Arabidopsis thaliana: one gene and its partners. The protein of the gene in region 3 binds, or shares a complex with, the protein of the main gene of each other region. Each region holds a gene or a part of one and is shown on either strand. Other genes may lie near its edges. The genes, in order: RANGAP2, RANGAP1, WIP3 and WIT1.

Evidence for each region.
Region 1: WIP3 (region 3) and RANGAP2 share a complex: the UniProt entries of both Arabidopsis thaliana proteins name them as parts of the ran complex.
Region 2: WIP3 (region 3) and RANGAP1 share a complex: the UniProt entries of both Arabidopsis thaliana proteins name them as parts of the ran complex.
Region 4: WIP3 (region 3) and WIT1 share a complex: the UniProt entries of both Arabidopsis thaliana proteins name them as parts of the ran complex.

What each region holds. Positions count from the first base shown.
Region 1 is NC_003076.8:6,504,537-6,509,461, reverse strand, and holds RANGAP2 (RAN GTPase activating protein 2), read left to right. Parts: upstream 1-1,816; 5' UTR 1,817-1,934; intron 1,935-2,023; exon of another isoform or gene 2,024-2,030; 5' UTR 2,031-2,170; intron 2,171-2,487; 5' UTR 2,488-2,514; coding exon 2,515-4,152; 3' UTR 4,153-4,370; downstream 4,371-4,925. Other genes in the region: ARIA (ARM repeat protein interacting with ABF2), read left to right, coding at 43-182, 266-329, 411-490, 665-729, 849-966, 1,056-1,180, 1,268-1,367; AT5G19315 (Defensin-like (DEFL) family protein), read right to left, coding at 4,562-4,743, 4,864-4,924. UniProt on the Arabidopsis thaliana protein: GTPase activator for the nuclear Ras-related regulatory protein Ran, converting it to the putatively inactive GDP-bound state.
Region 2 is NC_003074.8:23,322,507-23,327,622, forward strand, and holds RANGAP1 (RAN GTPase activating protein 1), read left to right. Parts: upstream 1-1,972; 5' UTR 1,973-2,326; intron 2,327-2,579; 5' UTR 2,580-2,601; coding exon 2,602-4,209; 3' UTR 4,210-4,407; downstream 4,408-5,116. Other genes in the region: CYCP1;1 (cyclin p1;1), read right to left, coding at 637-901, 987-1,387; CSP41A (chloroplast stem-loop binding protein of 41 kDa), read right to left, coding at 4,500-4,682, 4,761-5,038, 5,110-5,116. UniProt on the Arabidopsis thaliana protein: GTPase activator for the nuclear Ras-related regulatory protein Ran, converting it to the putatively inactive GDP-bound state. Plays a role in spatial signaling during cell division.
Region 3 is NC_003074.8:4,337,576-4,342,072, reverse strand, and holds WIP3 (WPP domain interacting protein 3), read left to right. Parts: upstream 1-1,626; 5' UTR 1,627-1,636; coding exon 1,637-1,811; intron 1,812-2,088; coding exon 2,089-2,958; intron 2,959-3,089; coding exon 3,090-3,601; 3' UTR 3,602-3,787; downstream 3,788-4,497. Other genes in the region: AT3G13370 (formin-like protein), read right to left, coding at 1-409; AT3G13350 (HMG (high mobility group) box protein with ARID/BRIGHT DNA-binding domain-containing protein), read left to right, coding at 4,269-4,453. UniProt on the Arabidopsis thaliana protein: Mediates and enhances the nuclear envelope docking of RANGAP proteins mediated by WIT1 and WIT2 in the undifferentiated cells of root tips.
Region 4 is NC_003076.8:3,631,631-3,637,493, reverse strand, and holds WIT1 (WPP domain-interacting protein 1), read right to left. Parts: upstream 3,846-5,863; 5' UTR 3,717-3,845; intron 3,536-3,716; 5' UTR 3,524-3,535; coding exon 2,926-3,523; intron 2,825-2,925; coding exon 1,635-2,824; intron 1,535-1,634; coding exon 1,355-1,534; intron 1,220-1,354; coding exon 1,076-1,219; 3' UTR 881-1,075; coding exon of another isoform or gene 570-880; 3' UTR 560-569; downstream 1-559. Other genes in the region: AT5G11400 (Protein kinase superfamily protein), read left to right, coding at 1-67, 152-218, 372-481, 570-880; DXPS3 (1-deoxy-D-xylulose 5-phosphate synthase 3), read right to left, coding at 4,244-4,393, 4,472-4,756, 4,841-5,119, 5,209-5,465, 5,550-5,817. UniProt on the Arabidopsis thaliana protein: Together with WIT2, required for the nuclear envelope docking of RANGAP proteins in root tips.

The DNA of each region.
Region 1 (4,925 bases), on a different chromosome or scaffold from region 3:
GTTCTTTGTCCAAAAAGTTAATATTGAGTTGTCTTTTGACAGGGTTGGAGTTGCTACTCGGTCTTCTTGGTTCTTTAAACACTAAGCAGCAACTTGACGGTGCAGCAGCGTTGTACAAATTAGCAAATAAATCTATGGCACTTTCTCCAGTTGATGCTGCTCCTCCTTCTCCAACACAAAGGGTGAGTTTCCTTTCTGCTTCAGTTCTCCTATAGGTAACGGGTGGAAGTCTCAATGCAGTATTCTGTATGTCTTTTTGTGACAGGTTTATCTCGGAGAGCAATATGTAAATAATGCTACGCTGTCTGATGTAACCTTTCTAGTCGAAGGTAATCATATATAAATCCAGAAGTTGTGGAACTCTAGTTAGCTTCAAAGTCCATATGTAAAACAGAAAAATCATACTGCAGGAAGGACATTCTATGCACACAGAATTTGTCTGCTGGCATCCTCAGATGCATTTCGTGCAATGTTTGATGGTGGTTACAGAGTAAGTGAACTAAATATTTTGGTTTTTCGATAATGTTCTTGTGGGGTAAATGATATTTTGATGACAATGACGTATGGATGTATGCTGGTCTGCTATTTATCAAAGGAATACAATTATCTTTTGGGGAAATTAGACCTGAATTGTGTCACGGTTTGTGTTTCGTTTATATCACAGGAAAAAGACGCTAGAGATATTGAGATTCCAAATATCAAATGGGAGGTGTTTGAGTTAATGATGAGGTATGATGAATGAACCTCTGCATGCTTTTGATTGACTCACTCGAGATATTGAAATTTCGAAAAGTCTGTGAGAACTTTTCATATACACGTAATTGACTCCCTTGGATTATGATTTTCAGGTTTATATACACTGGATCTGTCGACATAACAAATGAGATATCAAAAGATCTTCTAAGAGCAGCGGATCAGTATCTCTTGGAGGGCCTGAAACGACTCTGTGAATACACAATTGCTCAGGTGAGCCAGAATTATATCACAATGTAAAGTGATGATGTGGTTTGCGTAGTACTTAACGAAATCTGACACGGTTACTTTGAATATGAAAGGATATTACGTTGGAAAGTATAGGAGACATGTACGAGCTATCAGAAGCATTCCATGCGATGTCGCTGAGGCAAGCTTGTATCATGTTCATCCTGGAGCATTTCGATAAACTGAGTTCAATGCCTTGGTAATATAAACAAGATGTCACTCTCTCTCTCCACTAAGATTTGTTTTATTGCTATTAGTCTGAAACAAAAGTGAATGGAAAATGCAGGCAGAACGAGCTGGTGCAGAGAACAATACCAGAGATAAGAGAGTACTTTTGTAGAGCCCTAACAAAGTCTACTACAAACCTGCAAAGCTTGAGGTTGTAGAATGCGGAAGAAGAAGACTGCACTTAACTAGAGGTAAGTAGACAAGGAATTATATAGAGAGAAAGAGAGAGAGAGATCAAGAGCCGCCATTAGAGGTCTTTATCGTCCTGTACTGGGTTGTCTTAGTTATTTGCTGTGCTTTTTGGTTCGTTTTGGTCATTTTGTATTGTATTAATTAATCTCCTCTGATCACAATCGGTCTTGAATGAAATCGCTACCCTTTGTATCCAAAAATACCATTGTGGTATAACTTCCACTATTCAATTCAAAATCCACTCTCCAACTATCCTCTCTGTTGAGAAAAGATACTTTGGGTAGGTTGTGACTAAGCGTAGCTGTAACGATTTGATATTGGTAGTGGTGACCAGTGAGTTCATGTCTGAATAATTAAGAGATGATTCAACACAGAACATAATATCCCATTTTTGTTTTACAAATAAAGAATCAATCGAAAGTATTACTGATGATTAGAGACTGTAACTTGTAAGTATTTTGTAGCACAAGCCACTGAAAATTACATTACACATAAAGGAGTTTTCTTTAACATGAAAGATTCAAAATTACCAGGTTGGTTCTAATTAATTACGTTTTCTTCCAAAGTGATTAATTACTCAAGTCACGATGAATTATTAACCTTTCTCTTTTTTTTTTTTTTTAAATTAGTCTATAGAGACTTTTGGTTCAACGAACGTAGGAGGGAGTTTTAAAGAGCTCCGGTGAAGGAGAAACCCTAAAAACACACTCGATTTTGCAGCCAGAGAGAGTCTCAGAGCTCCGAGATTCAGACAATCTTCATCGGTCCGGTACGCTTTTCATTTCCGTTTATTCTCATCGCAAACGGATAATTATTTGTCTGATCCGATTTTACCCTGTGATTAAGCACCGATGTTCCTTCCTCGTAGTTGGTGATTTAATGCTTCTTCTCGAAACTATCCACTTATAGGATCTCCGATCTTTACGAGATTACTCTCCTTAATCTCTGTTATTGATTTAGTCACAGCATTTTCTGATTTATCAATTAGTTATTCCTTTGGGCTCAATGTTAATCCTCCTAAGTGATTAGTGATTACGATAGAGCCTCCTCTGATTATTTCTAACTTTTGTGTGTATGTTTTTGCAGTGATATTAAAACTCTGGATTTGCGATAATGGCTGATATACTTGATTCTCGACCTCATGCATTTTCGATTAAACTCTGGCCACCGAGTTTACCTACAAGAAAAGCTCTCATTGAGCGTATAACCAACAATTTTTCTTCCAAGACTATTTTCACTGAGAAGTACGGTAGCTTAACCAAAGACCAGGCTACGGAGAACGCTAAGAGGATCGAAGATATTGCTTTTTCCACTGCTAACCAACAGTTTGAGAGGGAGCCTGATGGTGATGGTGGTTCAGCTGTACAGCTTTATGCCAAAGAATGCAGTAAGCTTATCTTAGAAGTTCTCAAGAAAGGACCTGTTGCTAAAGTTGCGGCAAGAGAATTGATTTCTGAGGATTCTGTGTCTCCCCGCGAAACTTTTTTCGATATTTCTAAAGGTAAACGGGCTTTCATTGAGGCTGAGGAAGCTGAGGAGCTTCTCAAACCTTTGAAGGAACCTGGCAATGCCTACACTAAGATATGCTTTAGTAATAGGAGTTTTGGCTTGGGAGCTGCTCGTGTCGCTGAGCCTATCTTGGCGTCTTTGAAAGATCAGCTTAAGGAAGTTGACTTGTCTGACTTTGTTGCTGGACGACCTGAGCTTGAAGCTCTTGAGGTTATGAATATATTTTCTGACGCACTGCAAGGTAGTATTCTCTCGTCTCTCAACTTATCAGATAATGCATTGGGTGAGAAGGGTGTTAGAGCGTTTGGGGCACTCTTAAAATCTCTGAGCTCTTTGGAAGAGCTGTATTTGATGAATGATGGTATCTCTAAGGAAGCTGCGCAAGCGGTCTCCGAGTTGATTCCTTCAACAGAGAATTTGAGGGTCCTTCATTTTCATAATAACATGACGGGAGATGAAGGGGCACTCGCTATTGCAGAGGTTGTCAAGCGTTCCCCACTGCTGGAGAATTTCCGTTGTTCTTCCACAAGAGTCGGCTCAAAAGGGGGAATCGCCTTGTCAGAAGCACTTGAGCATTGTACTCATATGGAGAAACTTGATCTGCGGGATAATATGTTTGGCACAGAAGCCGGAGTTTCTTTGAGCAAAACTCTTTCAAGCTTCAAACACATGACTGAGCTTTACTTGAGTTATCTAAATCTAGAGGATGAAGGTGCCATAGCCATAGTAAACGCTCTAAAGGAGTCTGCTTCGCCCATTGAAGTTCTAGAGATGGCAGGAAATGACATAACAGTTGAAGCTGCTTCAGCTATCGCAGCCTGTGTTGCAGCAAAACAAGATCTGAACAAGTTGAATTTGTCTGAGAATGAGCTGAAAGATGAGGGATGTGTCCAGATTGCAAATTGTATAGAAGAGGGTCACTCAAAACTGCAATACATCGATATGAGCACCAACTACATAAGAAGAGCCGGAGCACGAGCCTTGGCTCATGTTGTTGTGAAGAAAGAAGCTTTCAAGCTGTTGAACATTGACGGGAACATCATATCAGAAGAAGGCATTGAAGAATTGAAAGAGATATTCAAGAAATCCCCAGAGTTACTTGGAGCTTTGGATGAGAATGATCCTGATGGAGAAGAAGATGATGATGATGAGGAAGACGAAGAAGATGAAGAGAACGAAGGTAATGGGAATGGTGAGCTGGAATCGAAGCTGAAGAACCTTGAAGTTAATCAGGAAGATTAAGTCTGTGATGTTGGTACTTTTCAATGTTTTTGTTTGTTTTGTACCAGTATTATTACTCTAGCTGCTGCTACAAAGACCAAAACATATTTGAGACATTGGTGTTAGTTTTATTTTTGCCGATAGCTTATTGGTCCTTTTTGTTTAAACACGATTGTATCGCTATTCTGAGGTCATACCTATGAGCAAAACAATTTTATATTCTATTTGGTTTGGTACCGTTTTGGTTTAGATACGATTTTAAACAAATTTTGTTAACTTGAAAAGTTTAAACTAACGTGAAAGAAGTTTTCAGGAGTGACCATTTCACATACTAAAGATATAATCAACAGTGAAGACAAGATTTTGAGTTTAATACTAGTTAGAATAAGCAATCGAGGATTGCAAACGCAAGCATAAAAACATATTTTTTTTAACAGTAACAATGGCATTTTTTTGCTCCACCAGCAAAACGTTTGCAAAAACCGCCTTTCTTATTATCACATCCATCAAGACACCATTTGTTGCATCTCTTTCTGTCTTGGTATGTGTTGCAAGCTCCAAATTTCGCATGTGTGTTACAGCACAACGAACTTCCGGATCCTTCAACGACATCTATAACATGCAAACAACAATTTTTCATCTTTAAGATTCACGTAAAGATCAAACAAAAACTTTTTATATAATACATCTTTGTATCCCCAAAAATATCAAAATTTATGGTGAGAGACTAACCAATAGAGAACAAAAGAACAAGTAGCATAGCAAAAGACATTATTTTCATGGTGGTGGTCATC
Region 2 (5,116 bases), about 19 Mb from region 3:
CCGAGCTTTTGTGGGAACCTGAACCAGAGTCTCCTGATGACATTTCTATGGCAACTCCGCTCGCCATGCCATCAACTTGCCGACGTCAGGTCCATGTCAGCACCTTTGACCAGACCGTACACCTACAGGACTTGCTTGACAAAAACGCTAGTGGGATCAAACACATGAAAGATTACCGACAAGAGGGTCATCAGTATAACGTTTAAGGAGTCACATGATGATCCCAGGGGCTACCACTCACGGGACTCACTATCTCCAATCGCACCACCGTCCTCTGACCCTAAGAATAGCAATGGCGGTGGTGGTTCAGGTGCTTGTGGTAATGTTGAGGCTCCTGCTACTGCTGCTTAACCACCGCCCAAGATTAACGATACTCCTTGTAATGGCAAAGCAGCAGAGCCTCCTGTCGCTAATGTGAAATGCAGCAGCAGATGGAATAGTTGCGGTTTGATGTAAAGTAGAGATCTATTTAGTAGTTTAACCAGTATCAAGGAAACTATATTATAGCAACTTCTTAAAGAATGAGTTGGTAGAAATTTTCAGATTTTCTACTACACACAATTGTCACAAACAATCAATCATGCAAAAGAATCATCACTACTAAAACACAAAATAATCCTATCTTACCCTTGCCGATCAGCGTGCTGTGGTTTGAGAGCAGAGTGAGTCGGGTGTCCTCTTCTGCCAAGTCTCTTTGTTGGCTCGGCATGCTTCTTTTATGGGCCACTCGATCTGGAAGCCGTCTCTGTTCTGCTTTTCTAACTGACAACAGTGTGTGTGAAACGTCTGAGGATCTACCTGAAGCTTGAAGTCAAGGGTAAACAACAACTCCATCTCCAATCTGTTTAACTCTCTCGTAGTCACACCTCCCACTCTTGCGTAGTATGCATTGTTGAAATACCTGCACAACACCAGAGATCAATGAATCTATGATTGAAGACTTATTTGCGTGTTGAATTTGATACCAGGTTTAGTGAGTAACATACCTATCATCGAAGACTTTAGCAGCTAACATGACAGTTGTAATGATAAGGCGGTGGACATTAAGGGGTTTGAGAAGGGCTCGGGTCTTATGGAGAAAGTGATCAATGTAGATATGCGCAATGACGAAGCAGGAGGGACTGCAGCAAGAGTACTTGAAAATGCGATCCAAGTAGTGTGCAATACTGATCTCAGGGGGAGATCTCCCGTCAAACACGGTAACAGAGTCTGGCGATCCAAGCAGAATCTTGTCATCATGATTGAGTAACAGAGATCTCTCCAGAGAAGAAGAGAGGCGTGAGAGAACAGTCGGTGGCTTTTTCAATCGTTTGCCCTCAATAATAAGTCCTAACCTGAGGTATACATCCGAATCAATGAAAGCTGGATCGGTTGCGAGAGAGTCCATTTCTCCAACGAATCTGCAATGAAGATGATGATGTGCATAAAAATGGTAACTTTGAATAGGGTTTTGAAATAGAAGACGTATGTAGAGTAAATTTCAAGCAGGTGAACTAATTCCTAATCAAGAACCTAAACCCTCTCTATATGTCTCCCTACCTACCAAGTACCAAGAATCTTGAGAGTCAAGAATTAGGAATAAAGTGGAAGAAGCTTACGAGAATAAAGTGGAAGAAGTTGGTTCGTGAACTAGAGAAGGTCCGGAGAATGGAAGAAAGCAGATCTATCTCCGGCGCTTCTCCATTGTTTTTTTTTTGCTGCTCTGAAGCTTAGAAGCTAAAAGAAGCCGCGAAGAATTGTGAAGAAGAAGGAAAGTTTCCATTATTGCCTTTTATTTTATTTTATTTAATAATTTAAGGGTTTTTGATTTTAAAATGAATAATAATAATAAATACAAAAAAGAAAGGACAGAAGGAAGGAGTGATGTGTGGTAGAGAGAGACAGTTCACCGTCGGCGAGTCCAGCTGGCGGTGGTGGGAGCCCACCGTGTCACCTTAATCATCGCTGCGCTGCCCTGTCTTTTTTCCATTATTAATTTTTAGCAAGAAGAAGACTGGGCTTTCTAAATTAGTTATTAATGGGCTTTGGGCTTTCGTGGTTAGGGTTGTGTAGGGGCTTAATCGTCATTTCGGAGATAGAATAAACCCTAATCTCCATGGATGGGCTCTCCGATGTTTGTCTTTTTGATTTTTGAAATTTGATTTTCAAAAATAAACTAAAGCATCATTGCCTCCCATTATCGTCACGCACGCAGATCAATGATTCTCTCACTCTGCTTCTCATTCACGCTTCTTCTTTGAATTCACTTTTCTATTCCTTTCTTTTTCTCCGTCCGAGAGAGTATAGAGAGACCCATTTCTTCGATCCATCCGCTGAGAAAAAAAAGGTACCGTCGTATTGTTCTCTCATGTTTCTGGGTTTCTTTTTGTTTCGAAATATATTCTTCTCGTTTGCAGTGTGATTTTGAGGGTTTCCTTGTCTAAAAAATGCAGTTTTTAATTAATGGATTTACAATAGAAATGTAGTTAGATTCTTCGACACCATCTTCGTTTTCGATTGGATCTACATGTTATGCTCTCTCTTTTTCCTTGGAATACTATGTCAGATTGAGTAATGGTTGTCCTTGTATTGAATTACAGAAGAAAACCAAGCAGTAGTAGAATGGATCATTCAGCGAAAACCACACAGAACCGTGTTTTGTCAGTGAAGATGTGGCCACCGAGTAAGAGTACCCGTCTCATGCTTGTTGAGCGGATGACCAAGAACATTACCACCCCTTCCATCTTCTCCAGGAAGTACGGTCTTTTGTCTGTTGAAGAGGCTGAGCAAGACGCCAAGCGCATTGAAGATTTGGCCTTTGCTACTGCCAACAAACACTTCCAGAACGAGCCTGATGGTGATGGCACTTCTGCTGTTCACGTCTATGCTAAAGAATCCAGCAAGCTCATGCTTGATGTCATCAAACGTGGTCCACAGGAAGAATCCGAGGTTGAGGTGAGCAAGGATGGTGATGTCTTTTTTGATATATCTGGTGGGAGCAGAGCTTTTATTGAAGAAGAGGAGGCACGCGACCTTTTGAGGCCTCTGGCTGACCCGCGTAACTCCTATACCAAAATCCGTTTTAGCAACAGGAGTTTTGGGTCTGAAGCAGCCAAATTTGCTGCGAGCGTTTTGTCTTCCATCAAGGATCAGCTGACGGAAGTGGATCTCTCGGATTTTGTTGCAGGAAGACCAGAGGCTGAAGCGCTTGAAGTCATGAATATGTTTTCATCTGCTTTAGAGGGTTCTAAGCTTAGGTATCTGAATCTCTCGGACAATGCTTTGGGAGAAAAGGGAATTAGGGCATTTGCTTCTCTCATCAATTCTCAGCATGACTTGGAGGAGCTCTATCTGATGAATGATGGCATTTCCGAGGATGCTGCACGTGCAGTTCGTGAGCTTCTCCCTTCTACTGACAAAATCAGGGTTCTTCAGTTTCATAACAACATGACAGGAGATGAAGGAGCAACTGCCATTGCAGAGATTGTCAGGGAGTGTCCATCTTTGGAAGATTTCCGGTGTTCATCTACAAGGATTGGTTCAGAAGGTGGTGTTGCACTAGCTGAAGCACTTGAACACTGTAGCCACTTGAAGAAACTTGATCTTCGTGACAACATGTTTGGAGTCGAAGGTGGAATTGCCCTGGCCAAGACTTTATCAGTCTTGACTCATTTAACCGAGATCTATATGAGTTACCTGAACTTGGAGGATGAGGGAACAGAGGCACTTTCTGAAGCTCTACTTAAGTCCGCCCCTTCTCTTGAAGTTCTAGAATTGGCTGGTAACGACATTACTGTAAAATCCACTGGAAATTTGGCAGCTTGCATCGCCTCCAAACAGTCTCTTGCAAAGCTGAATTTATCTGAGAATGAACTCAAAGACGAAGGGACTATCTTAATTGCAAAGGCAGTTGAAGGTCATGATCAGTTAGTTGAAGTTGACCTGAGCACCAACATGATCAGAAGAGCTGGGGCAAGGGCCTTGGCACAAACTGTTGTGAAGAAAAATACTTTCAAGCTTCTGAACATCAATGGAAACTTCATATCTGAGGAAGGTATTGACGAGGTAAATGACATGTTTAAGGACTGTCTGGACAAGCTTGTTCCTTTGGACGACAATGACCCTGAAGGAGAAGATTTTGAAGATGAAGACGAAGAGGAGGAAGGCGAAGATGGCAATGAATTGGAATCAAAGCTTGGAAGTCTGAAAATCAAGCAAGGGGAGGAATGATGTGATGCTTTTGTTGCTATGTAGGTAGGTTCAGTGTTATCTCTCTTTCTGGATTCGGTAAACATAGTTAAGTAGGTATCTAAGGATCTAAGATTGTCTTCAGATTTATTTCCTTGAAGCGAAATTGTTATCTTCGTGTAAACCAGAATTGTTGTTGGTCTTTTGGTTATGAATATTTAAATGATCTTTTAGCTGAAATCATGTTCATCTCATATGAGCCGTGGGAAATGAAAGAGCACAGTGTAGCATAAGAAGTTACAAATGAAGAACAAACTTTATGGCGTATTTGATCAAGCGGCCACTGGAGTTTTGAGGGCTTCGAGTATCTTATCGTCTAACTCAAACTTAATCTCTTTCTTGTCTCTGCCAATCTTCACATACTCTTCGAATCTCTCCTTGAGATCTTCAGGCAGATTCGTTTTACTCTCCCACCCTAATAAGTCCTTAGCGGCTCTTGGCTCTGCGTAGAAATGCTGCGACCATACAAAGACAAGTTTGTAAAGCTACTAATGAATGAAGTAGGAGAAGAGCTTCTACAGGGTTTCGTTTACCATGTTTCTGAATAGAAAAGCCTTCTTGGCGTCAACCCCAATGGCTTTAGGGTCATAATGAACGATCTCAACAGTTTTGCCAGCAGCGGCAGCACAGAGCTTGGCCATACCGTCAAGAGTAACGGCTCTGTCGCTAACGCAGTTGAAGATGTTGCCGGAAGCAGCCTCTGGGTTGGCAACGGCAGAAGTAAGCATGGAAGACAAGTCCCTCACGTGGGATATGTTGGTTAGCTGCAATCCTGATCCTGGGATTGGCACTGCTCTGTCCCTCACAATCCCTGGGAACACATTTCAACCATTACGTGTTTTTGTCTTTGTATTGAAATCTTTGGGTGTGTGAGAGACTTACGGTCGAA
Region 3 (4,497 bases):
TATTCATCGATACCTTTGGTGGTGATGGTGCACTTTTATAATCTCCGTAGATTATATTCATCGGTACCTTTGGTGGTAAAGGTGCATCGTGACCTTTACCTGAATCATCAGGTCCACTTTTATAACCTCCGTAGATTATATTCATCGGTACCTTTGATGGTAAAGGTGCATCGTGACCTTTACCTGAATCATCAGGTCCACTTTTATAACCTCCGTAGTTTATATTCATCAGTATCTTTGGTGGTAAAGGTGTATCGTGACCTTTACCTGAATCATCAGGTCCACTTTTATAACCTCCGTAATTTATATTCATCGGTATCTTTGGTGGTAAAGGTGCATCGTGACCTTTACCTGAATCATCAGGTCCACTTTTATAACTTCCGTAGATTATATTCACAGGAACCTTCATCGTTTTTATGAGCGGGTTAGTTTCTCCCATGACTGGTGGATTCAAACTTCTTGCATGGGCATAAGGTCCACGACACACAAAACAAGTGATAAGGGATATGAAAACTATTTTGGGAATCAAACAAGACATGGTGGGAGGCATCAACATTATTCGAGGTTTTTTTTAGGACTAGGAAATGGGGATGTGAAAATTGAAATTGGTAGAAAAAAAGAAGAAGAAGAAGTTGTCTTTTTTTTTGTTGATAGAAAATGATTGTTACAACTTACAATATATTAAAAATGTGAGTATTTGTATGTATATATAATAGATTATTGATTCACTCAAAACATATAATGTATTGTTATAATGTTTAATAATGATATGAATTATGTTAAAAAATAAATATTGTCTCAAACACAATATATCTAATCATAATTACTGTCTTAAACTATAGATGATATACAATAGTTACTTATGACAAAGTTTATCATTTTCAATTTTATTAGTACAAAATCAAATATTTTCATAGATATCAGTAAAAATACTATTTTGACAATTAACAATATTAAAATAAAATAAATTTTGTGGATATTGTAGATTCTAAAGTAAAATAACTATAATAAATTTTAAAATAAATGGTAATCACATTTTGTTACATGTTACTAAAATACTTAATTTATATTTAATGAATCAGTTTATCTGTCCATATTTTAAAATTTCACTAAAATTTTCAGAAATGTTTTGGAATTAGATTTCAGATTGTAAATAGTTTTCACTAACTTTTAATTATATAAATATATTAAATATTTACCCATTTCCTCAACAGAATGGAGATTTTACATTTATAAAACAATTCCATACTTCAAGAATTAGCATTTATTTATTTATTTTTTAAATCTGTTTTATACAAAAAATAGATAAAAAAATCATTTTAAGGAGTTGATTTTTTTAATGATTTGTAAATGTTCAAATCTGCATAAAACATTATTTTGATTTTTGAATATGATACCAAATAAATCTTTTAAATTTTAAAATAGAAAAATCACACTTTTCATTATTTTGAAAATATTTAAGTCTAGTTTTAATGGGCCTTATCAGGCCAACATGTTGGGCTCATATACACACTTTAATTCCGACATGTTGTGTACTCCAGATCGGACGGCCAGCTTGGCGCACTGGGTTTATGTCATGTGGGTCCCACGTATGATTCGCACCATCTTCATTATTTTTTCTCTTTCTTTATCTTTAATGTTTTTTTTTTCCTGTGTCTGTAGAATCATTTCGTCCACTTTAATCATTTTCGTTGATACAGCTTCTCCCGGTAATAATGTCGGCGGATTTCTCCGTCGCACTCTAAATTCTTTAGGATTTTGTTTCTCTTGCTCATCTGTAACTCAGGCAAGCTCTCGTTGGATTGTTTTAGGTACGCTTTAAATATTGATTCGAGTCGCTTCTCTCTGTTTTCATTAATTTTGTTTTTTCAAAAAATTTCTGGACTTGATTAGATGAGATTGTTGAATTGTGAATTGAGTTTTGTTCATTGTTGTTTCGGTAGATGAGGTTAGAATAACACTATACATCAGTTCTTTCTTTTGAAGTAGTGAGCTGAATCTAGTTCTTTAGCTGTTGGAAATTTTCAGATTTGTGTCTCTGATGACAGAGAATTTGATACCTTTTTTTTTGTTGTGAAATGGATTTAGGCATGAATGAGTCAGTCCCTGATTCTGTGGAAGACAACGGTAATTCAGTCCCTGCAAATGGATTATTAGTATTGCCTGATAATGATCATGAGGAAGGAGGTGTTGGATCACCTCAACGATCGAACAGCGTTGAATCTCCTGGTGGATCAGTACATTCTACGAGGAAAGGTTTTGGTTTGAAGAAATGGAGACGGATCAAAAGAGATGGTCCTGTGAGAGATGAGGCTGCTCCTGTTGATGATGGTAGTAAGTTACTGAAACGTGGATTGGCTGGTTTGGTGAATCCTCCTTCTAAACATGTAGAATTTTCTTCAGTTGAAGCAAGGCAGAGTAGTGAAGGCTCTGTTGGGTCAGTGAATATGGTGCATCATCCAGGGGTAGCCAACGGGTTTAGTCCCGATATAGGTTGTATGTTTGCTGTTGGGCAAGCGTTTGAGAAAAGTGAAGAGCATAGTGGTAATACCATAGGTGGAAAGAATGTAGTAGGAGGGAAGGTTGTTTCAGGTAGCCAAGAGAAACTCTGGAGTGATACCATCAAGAGGGCTAGCGAAGAGCGGGGGGATATCGAGAAGGAGAAGCCTTGTTCCAGCTTGGATTCCGACTTGAGAAGTAGTGATTTTGTGTTTTCGACTGGCTCGGTTTCTGTTGGTAACCATGGAGAGAAAGATGAGAGATTGACGATGAATTATATTGGGGGATTTAGCAATGAAGGTCAAGTTAAGGAGGAAGTTCAAACATATAGCAGAAGCGAAAACGGGAATAAAGAAGACGATGGAGAGAGTAAGAAAAACAACAATCATTGGGCAGATAAAGACGCACTTGCAGATTCTATCAGAAGCTTTGCAGTTCTGCAGGAAGTTCTTTGGAAAGGTTTGCACACGAACCTTGATTTTTGATATCCATGTGAATTGTTTCAATGTTCATGTCCTAAAGCTCCCATGTTTATATTATCAATGTTACATGATATTTCTAAACTAACTATGCGATTGAAACGTGTGCAGAGGTTCAAAGTTTCCAGGAGCTAGGTAAGGAATCTGTACTACTACATTCGAACACCGATGAATTGAGTTCAGACCAGCCAAGTCATCAAAATTGTAAAGAAGATAACTCAACATCCTCAGGATCAAAGGCACTGATCTTGAAGGAGAAGGTAAAACTTCTGGAACACAAACTCGAGGAAGCGAGAGCTGCTCTCGAGGCAAAGGAAGCTAGGATCCAAGAACTCGAAAACTCAAAGATTGAATCTGAACTTGAATGCATCTTCCAGAGAAAGATTGAAACTGAAATCGAACATTTGATGCTCACAAGATCTCTGAGTTCACTACAAGTACTCCAAGAAACTAAGAAGTTACATTCTCTGAAAGAAGATCCTGTATCAAACCGTGGAAACATCTTAGGAAAAACATGTAAGCTCGGTTTCTATATCTTGACACAATTGATCTTGCTCGTCTCTATACTTCGGTTTCTCGTCCTACAATTCTCTCCTGCTTCACGATTAGTAATACCAACTTGAAAAATTCCTTCTCCTTGTTGTGTTACCGAACATTTTTTTTGTTTCTCCAGATTGTAATAAATAAGGTCTCTCAAGGATATTGTCCCCATTGTTATAGTTAAATTACGATGTTTAAATTTCCCATCAACAACTAAAGAGACATTATTATTTTGTGAACTAGATTTTTGATATCGAATCCGATCACCGGTTATAATGGTTTGCCGACGGTTTTTGTGATTTGACTCAAGAGTGTAATAAAACCTTAACTTAAATCTTGGTTTTTGATTCAATCTAGATTCGGTTAATCAACCGGTCCGGTCTGGTTTTTAAAACAATAGGCCATTGTTGTAGGGAGTAGTTTAATCGGGGCAGAGGCTTATGCTATGGGCTTGGACTCTCAGGTTTCGTCTTAAACCTAATCAAAGTAATTTAAGCCGAAAACGGAAGGAACTAAAATTGGTGTCTTGACTAAAAATAATATAAAGGACATAAAATTAAAGTCCCCAGATAAAAGTTTGTATGATTTAGGGCAAAATCTCAGAAGATAAAATCATTCAAATTTGTGTGAATTTCGTTTAATCCTTATCCAATTTGTCCCAATTTATAATCTTATAAGAAAAATAAAAATCTGAAATACGGTGGTCTCAATTGCTCTTACCTTTACCAAGACGGCCATAAGAAAAAAAAGATGTCGACCGATATTTCACCACCCTACTCTCAAACTCACGTGGAGCCCGTTAATGGTTATCCTTCTGACAACAAGAGATGCGACGATTCCTCTGTTCCTGCCAAATATGATGATCTTGTCCGTAACTCTGCTCTCTTCTGGGAAAAGCTCCGAGCTTTCCTCGGATTAACCAGCAAGACTTTGAAGTCAGTTTCTTTCTTACCCTTTTCACATTTTTGTGAGACCTTTT
Region 4 (5,863 bases), on a different chromosome or scaffold from region 3:
AACAAACCATTCTTCTTGGTATTTGAATACTCGCACAAAGGAAGTTTGGACAGTCACATTTTCGGAAGTTAAGATCTTTTCTAGCTAATGGGTCCATTCTAAGATATAGACAACTATTGCATTACCTATAGTTTTACGTTTCCCTCAACAGAAGAAGAAGAGGCATTGCCATGGGAAATACGGGTTAAGATAGCCATTGGAACAGCTCAAGGTCTCGCGTTTCTTCACTCGATCAAGAACAGCCCCCTAAACCGAGAACTCAGGATGCATAACATTATGCTTGACGAGGTGGTAATTGTTTTATTTCCATCCTTCTTCTCTCTTTTTGTTTATGATCTTAGAAATTAATATCTAAGTTTGGATTTCATCAGCAATACAATGCAAAAACTGTTCTATCTCGAACCAACCAAACGAAGCTTGGTAGATGAAGGTCTCAAGAGGGGAAGATTTACATACCTATCTCCTGAATGGGGATCGTTAGGTACACGAAAGCATTAACTTTCGTTTTACAAATTCTGAAAAATCTTTCGTTGTTCAACGTTAAGACAATTGTGTAATGTATGTGTTAGGTATTTTGGATATGACGACCGATGTTTACATTTTTGGTATGATCTTGCTTGAACTTTTAATGGGTTCCAAGGATAGAAAAAAGATTAAGGAAGAGCAAGGCTTAGTAGATTACTGGACCTCATCTTTCTTGCCAGATAATTATAAGATTGAGGAAATAATCGATCCCCGACTTGGGAGCGATTATTCTGCGAATGCGGCGACACAGATGGGCACACTCATCAACCGATGCACAGCGCATAATACAAAGAAACGGCCATTGATGCAACAAGTATTGGATGGTCTTAATCATATTGCAGAGATTAAGGACTAATGTGTAGAGAGGTACTAATACTTGACACTGAAAAAGATATTGTAATAACACAAAATACCAGTGTCGGGGTTAATTATATAGCAGATTTTCTGTAACTGGGTAGCCAAAAAGAACTAAAATATAATCTGTCATTGTAAACTATGACAAAGAGAGTACAAAACTGGAGACTGAGATTTTGGAAAAAGTTAAAGACTCTTACATGTTTTGCTGGGATATAACATAAGCTATCGACGATATTAAGATCACGAGTATTGCAACGAGAATGTGTTTGAACCTAAGAGCTCCAACATCTAATCTCCTTACACTTCCAATATCTGATTTTGAACCTGTTTCTTCCTCCTACAAAAAGGTGACCACGGTTACTAACGTCAAGCTTAGATTCATAATATTCGATTGTTGGACTAAAGCTTAATGGTATAACTCACTTAGATGCCAGCAAAAGATCAGATTTTTTGTAAGGTAGAATTATGTTACCTCTGGATTAGTTAATGAAATGAAGGTGGCTTGAAGTCTACTTCCTTGATGGCAAGAAGAAGCATTCTGGTCCGACTTTGGTGAAACTTCACTTCCATTGCCACTTTCCATATAACCAGTTTTTCCAACCTTTTTCAACTTCACCATCAACACACAATTCTCTCTTGACAGGTTAGTTATCTGCAAATAAGTCACTATATCTAAGAATCCACTGTGATGATGATGAAGCTACAAGGACATGAACTAACAGCGAACTGGGGTTTTACGAATATGGTAATACCTGTTTATGAAGTCGTTCTCGTTCAGCAGCTAGTTGCATGACCAGTTTTTTCATGATCTTGTTATGTACCCCGATATCTTTGGCGGTTCGCAATTTTCTTTCTTCTGCTTGCTGTAAATATTTCTCCCCTTCTTTCAATCTACCCTTAAAGAATTTCAGTTCTTCGTTGACCTCTGCGTTAGACTCAGATACCATGATCAACTTCTCTTCGGTAATGTCGGCCCTGTTTTCAGCCTTCAAAACTTTTGATTTTAGATCCTCGATCACATCCTCCATATCAGAAACAGTAGAATATAACAAGTTCTGCTTTTCTTTACTTGCTTCAACAGCTGCAACTGCATGTTCTAGTTGTAGATCTGAGTCCCTCAAGTGTTTCTCAAGCGATGCTAACTTATGTATAGTGAAGCCCTTGTCTCTGAAATTCCCCAACTCGTCTTGAAGCTCCTTTTTGCTTTCTTCTAGGATTTTGCACTTGGATTCTGTTTCCTCAGCCCTTGCTTCAGTTTTGGCTAATTTATCTTTCAGTTCCTCGTTGATACGTTCAAGATCTGTTATCAGAGCACCAGAAGTAGCATCCGCATCTTCTGTTTGAATCCCATATTCATTCAGTTGTTCTTCAAGGGAGCTAACTTTCTCACTTAATGTGGAATTCTCAGTGTTCAACAAAATCAATTTTTCTTCAGCCTCTTGCAAACTCTCTTTTAAGCCTTCTGTTTGTGCCACAAGAAAGTCAGCAAGTCTTGCATTGCTGCTATCAAGCTTGTGCAAGGCGCATTCCTTAGCTTCTAAACGTTCCTTTGAATCAACAAGCTTAGACTTCAAGTTGTCTTCCCGCTTAAAAGAGCCACTTAGATTGAACTGAAGAATCTGGAGTTTTCCAGACATCTCCTTTGACGTTCCCTTAAAGACTTCAGCAGCATTATCTGCCTCAAGCCACCTGGAGAACGCATCTTCGGTTACTTCTTCCATGTAGACAACATCCTGCTCAGAAGAATACAGTTTCATCTCTAGTTCTCGTTCAGTATTTCTTGATTCACTTAGTTTCTTCTCAAGTTCCATCTCCTTAGCCAAAGATTTCTCAAGCATCCTTAAAACATTCCTTTGCTGATCAGCAGTCTGCATATTGATCTTAGCGCTCAGATCACCAAACTCACCATCGTTTTGAGACACTGAAGTTTGCCCTCCAGACCCTGCAAAAACAAAGTTATATAGTATTCATTAAAGCCTGAAATTTTTCTCACCAAGTGATCATCACAACAAGGTTAAAAAGAAAGCTAGATTGGTCACTTACAGCTTCCTTGTTCATCCAAACCAGAAGATAACCTCTGAAAGTTAGAAGATTGCTTCTTCATTTCCACTACTTGTTCCATTAACTGACCCAAAGATTGTTCAGTATCATTCAACTTCCCTTCCAAATCCAAGAAAGCTTCTCCATCATGTTGAAACGGAGATATCATGACACGGGCGCTTTGAATCTCGTTCTGGAGAAAACCAAGAAGCGATTCAAGTTCTTTCACCTCTGAATTGAGAATTGAAGACAAGAGATCAAACTCCAATGCCTTCTCAGCAGAATCATCATCATCATCAACATTACTCGAAGGCTCTTCTTCATCTTCTTCTTTCTTAGAAACAAAAGACTCAAAATCATTTTCCCTCGTGCCGAGTTGCATAGTAAGAAGACTAAGATTGACCAATTTCTCAGAGACAAAAGCAAAATCCAATTCAACTTTTGTCAAAACTTCGCCTGCACTTGAAAGTTGAGGATTCATAACTTGCCCAGTAAGCGAGAGATCTTCAAAAAAGCTTTCTTTCGTTGAGCTTGGCTCAGGTACAAGGCTGTCGTTGTCATCGACAGAGACAGTTCTATCATGTTCCGTTTCTGTTTCCATCTTTCAATATAACTGCAACAGAGAAAGTATAATCACTTTTGTCAAGTAATTGAATTAAGAGATCGGAAACAATAGAGGTTCTGCTAAATCACAAGAACTTTTCGATTCCTGAGGAAATCTAGGTAAAAGTTCCGATTTTTTACTTGATTCCGATCGAGATTGAAGCAAAATGAATGAAAAGGAGAAAACTTACAGTTAGAAACGAACGACACGACGATTAAGATCAAAGACGCTTCCTTTAGAAGGAAATGATCGAGAGATACAGAGATCGAGAAGAAGAAGAAGAAGAAGGACTCGGATTTGTAATTAAACGAATATTGTTTGACAGTAACTCTTTACTAATTTTTTAAGATGCTTTTATTAAAAAAAAACTCGAGTATCGAAAATACACGTCTCTGTTCTATATTTTGTTTGTTTCCAGATTTGGGACATGCGACTGTTACACCAAATAGACTTGACAACAACAACAACAACAACAACAACAACAACAACAACAACAACAACTAACTGAGAATATGAAAACTGAGATACCGCCTAAAAAGTAATTGAATTTATTTTAGTCAATTCTCAACTCTACATTTACAATACATAGCAGATTGCTATTCCAAAATCAGGATATCAAATGGGCTCTTGAATTCAGAATGTATTATCTACAAATTCTGTTTAAGAAACTCCTCTTTAAGTCTCTTGTGAAGGTAAATCCCATATGAGAAGGTTAAGCTAGCTCATGAGAAGCAATGCTTCACGAGTTCGGCCCAAAAGACTCAAAGCGGTTGCTGCTATGTGATGTCCAGTTAGCCCTGCAAGAGCAAGCTGCTCCCTAGGCGATGCTTCTTCTATGTAGCCATCCGGTAACACAATGGGTCTCCACTACACAATGTTAAGAGCAAAATTACAACTTAAAACCAAAAACAGGTGAGAACATGAGGTTTTGATTTGTCTCTCTACCTTGATATTCCCATCGAGCTGGCCATCGAGGGCTATGAACTGCGCCACATGAGAACCAAACCCTCCAACACAGCCTTCTTCGACAGTGATAAGGAATTTGTGGTTCTGACAAAGATCACGCACAAGCTTGATGTCTAGGGGTTTGCAAAATCTTGCATCAGCTACAGTCACGTTCAAACCGAGTTTCGAGAGAAGCGAGTGAGCATGAAGACAATTCTGAACCATCGCTCCATAACCAAGTAAAGCCACATCTTGACCTTCTACGAGAACTCTTCCTCTTCCGATCTACTCTAATATGATAAAGCAGTTCTTGTGTCACCACGGTCTGTTTTTGCAACCAAAAGATTTGAAGATTAGATTGGAACTTACTTCAATTGGTAATCCAGTGGGGACAAGATAATTCATGTTGACGATGGAGCCTCTAGGGAACCGGAAACATACTGGGCGGTCAGTGACATAAGCAGCAGTTGCAACCATATTTACAAGCTCATCCTCATCGGCTGGAGCCATGGCTATCATGTTTGGTAAGGATGACATGAAAGCTATGTCAAAAGCTCCACACTGCACTGGACCATCGGATCCAACAAGCCCTGCGCTTGTAATAACAAATCGCACCGCCTTTCTCTGCCGATCTACATCATGGACCACCTAAAGAAACCATCAAAGACACTAAGGCCATTTGCTTGTAATAAAAACCTTTTAGAACAATTTTATTTTGTGCTAGAGGAAAGTGAAACCTGGTCATAAGCTCTTTGTAAAAAAGCAGAGGGAATAATACAAAATGGCTTGAGACCTCCAGAAGAAAGACCAGCAGAGAATGTGACAGCATGCTGTTCAGCCATTCCGACATTGAAAAATCTGTCTGGAAATCTCTCCTGAAATGTAAGAAGTGACGGATCCATCTCCATTCCTGCATGAACTACAACAATATCTCTATCCTTTTCTGCCTCCATCACCAAAGCCTCAACAAAGCAATCACTGTAAGTGCGTCTGTCTGAGACAAAAAAAAAAACTACAAAGTCAAGATTTTGGATAAGCATATATTCTCAGAAAAAATAACATAACCAGACAGATATACCTTTGACCATGATGTTCTTTACGGTTTCTGCATCTCGGTTTCCCTCTGTGATCACGTGGACCAACACAGGACCCATTGAATCTAGAGAAGATACTTCTCGGAGAACACAAACTAGATCTTCAATGTTGTGTCCATCAACAGGACCAATGTAGTACAAACCAAGTTCTTCAAAGAGAGTTGATCCTGTTGGTCCAACCATACCGCGAGCATACTCATCGACTTTGGCTGCCCATTCATACATTCCCTTTCCAATTCTTTTCGTCATAGCCTGTCAAAATCCACACCAAATTGTTAAACACCAAATTTGGAGCTTC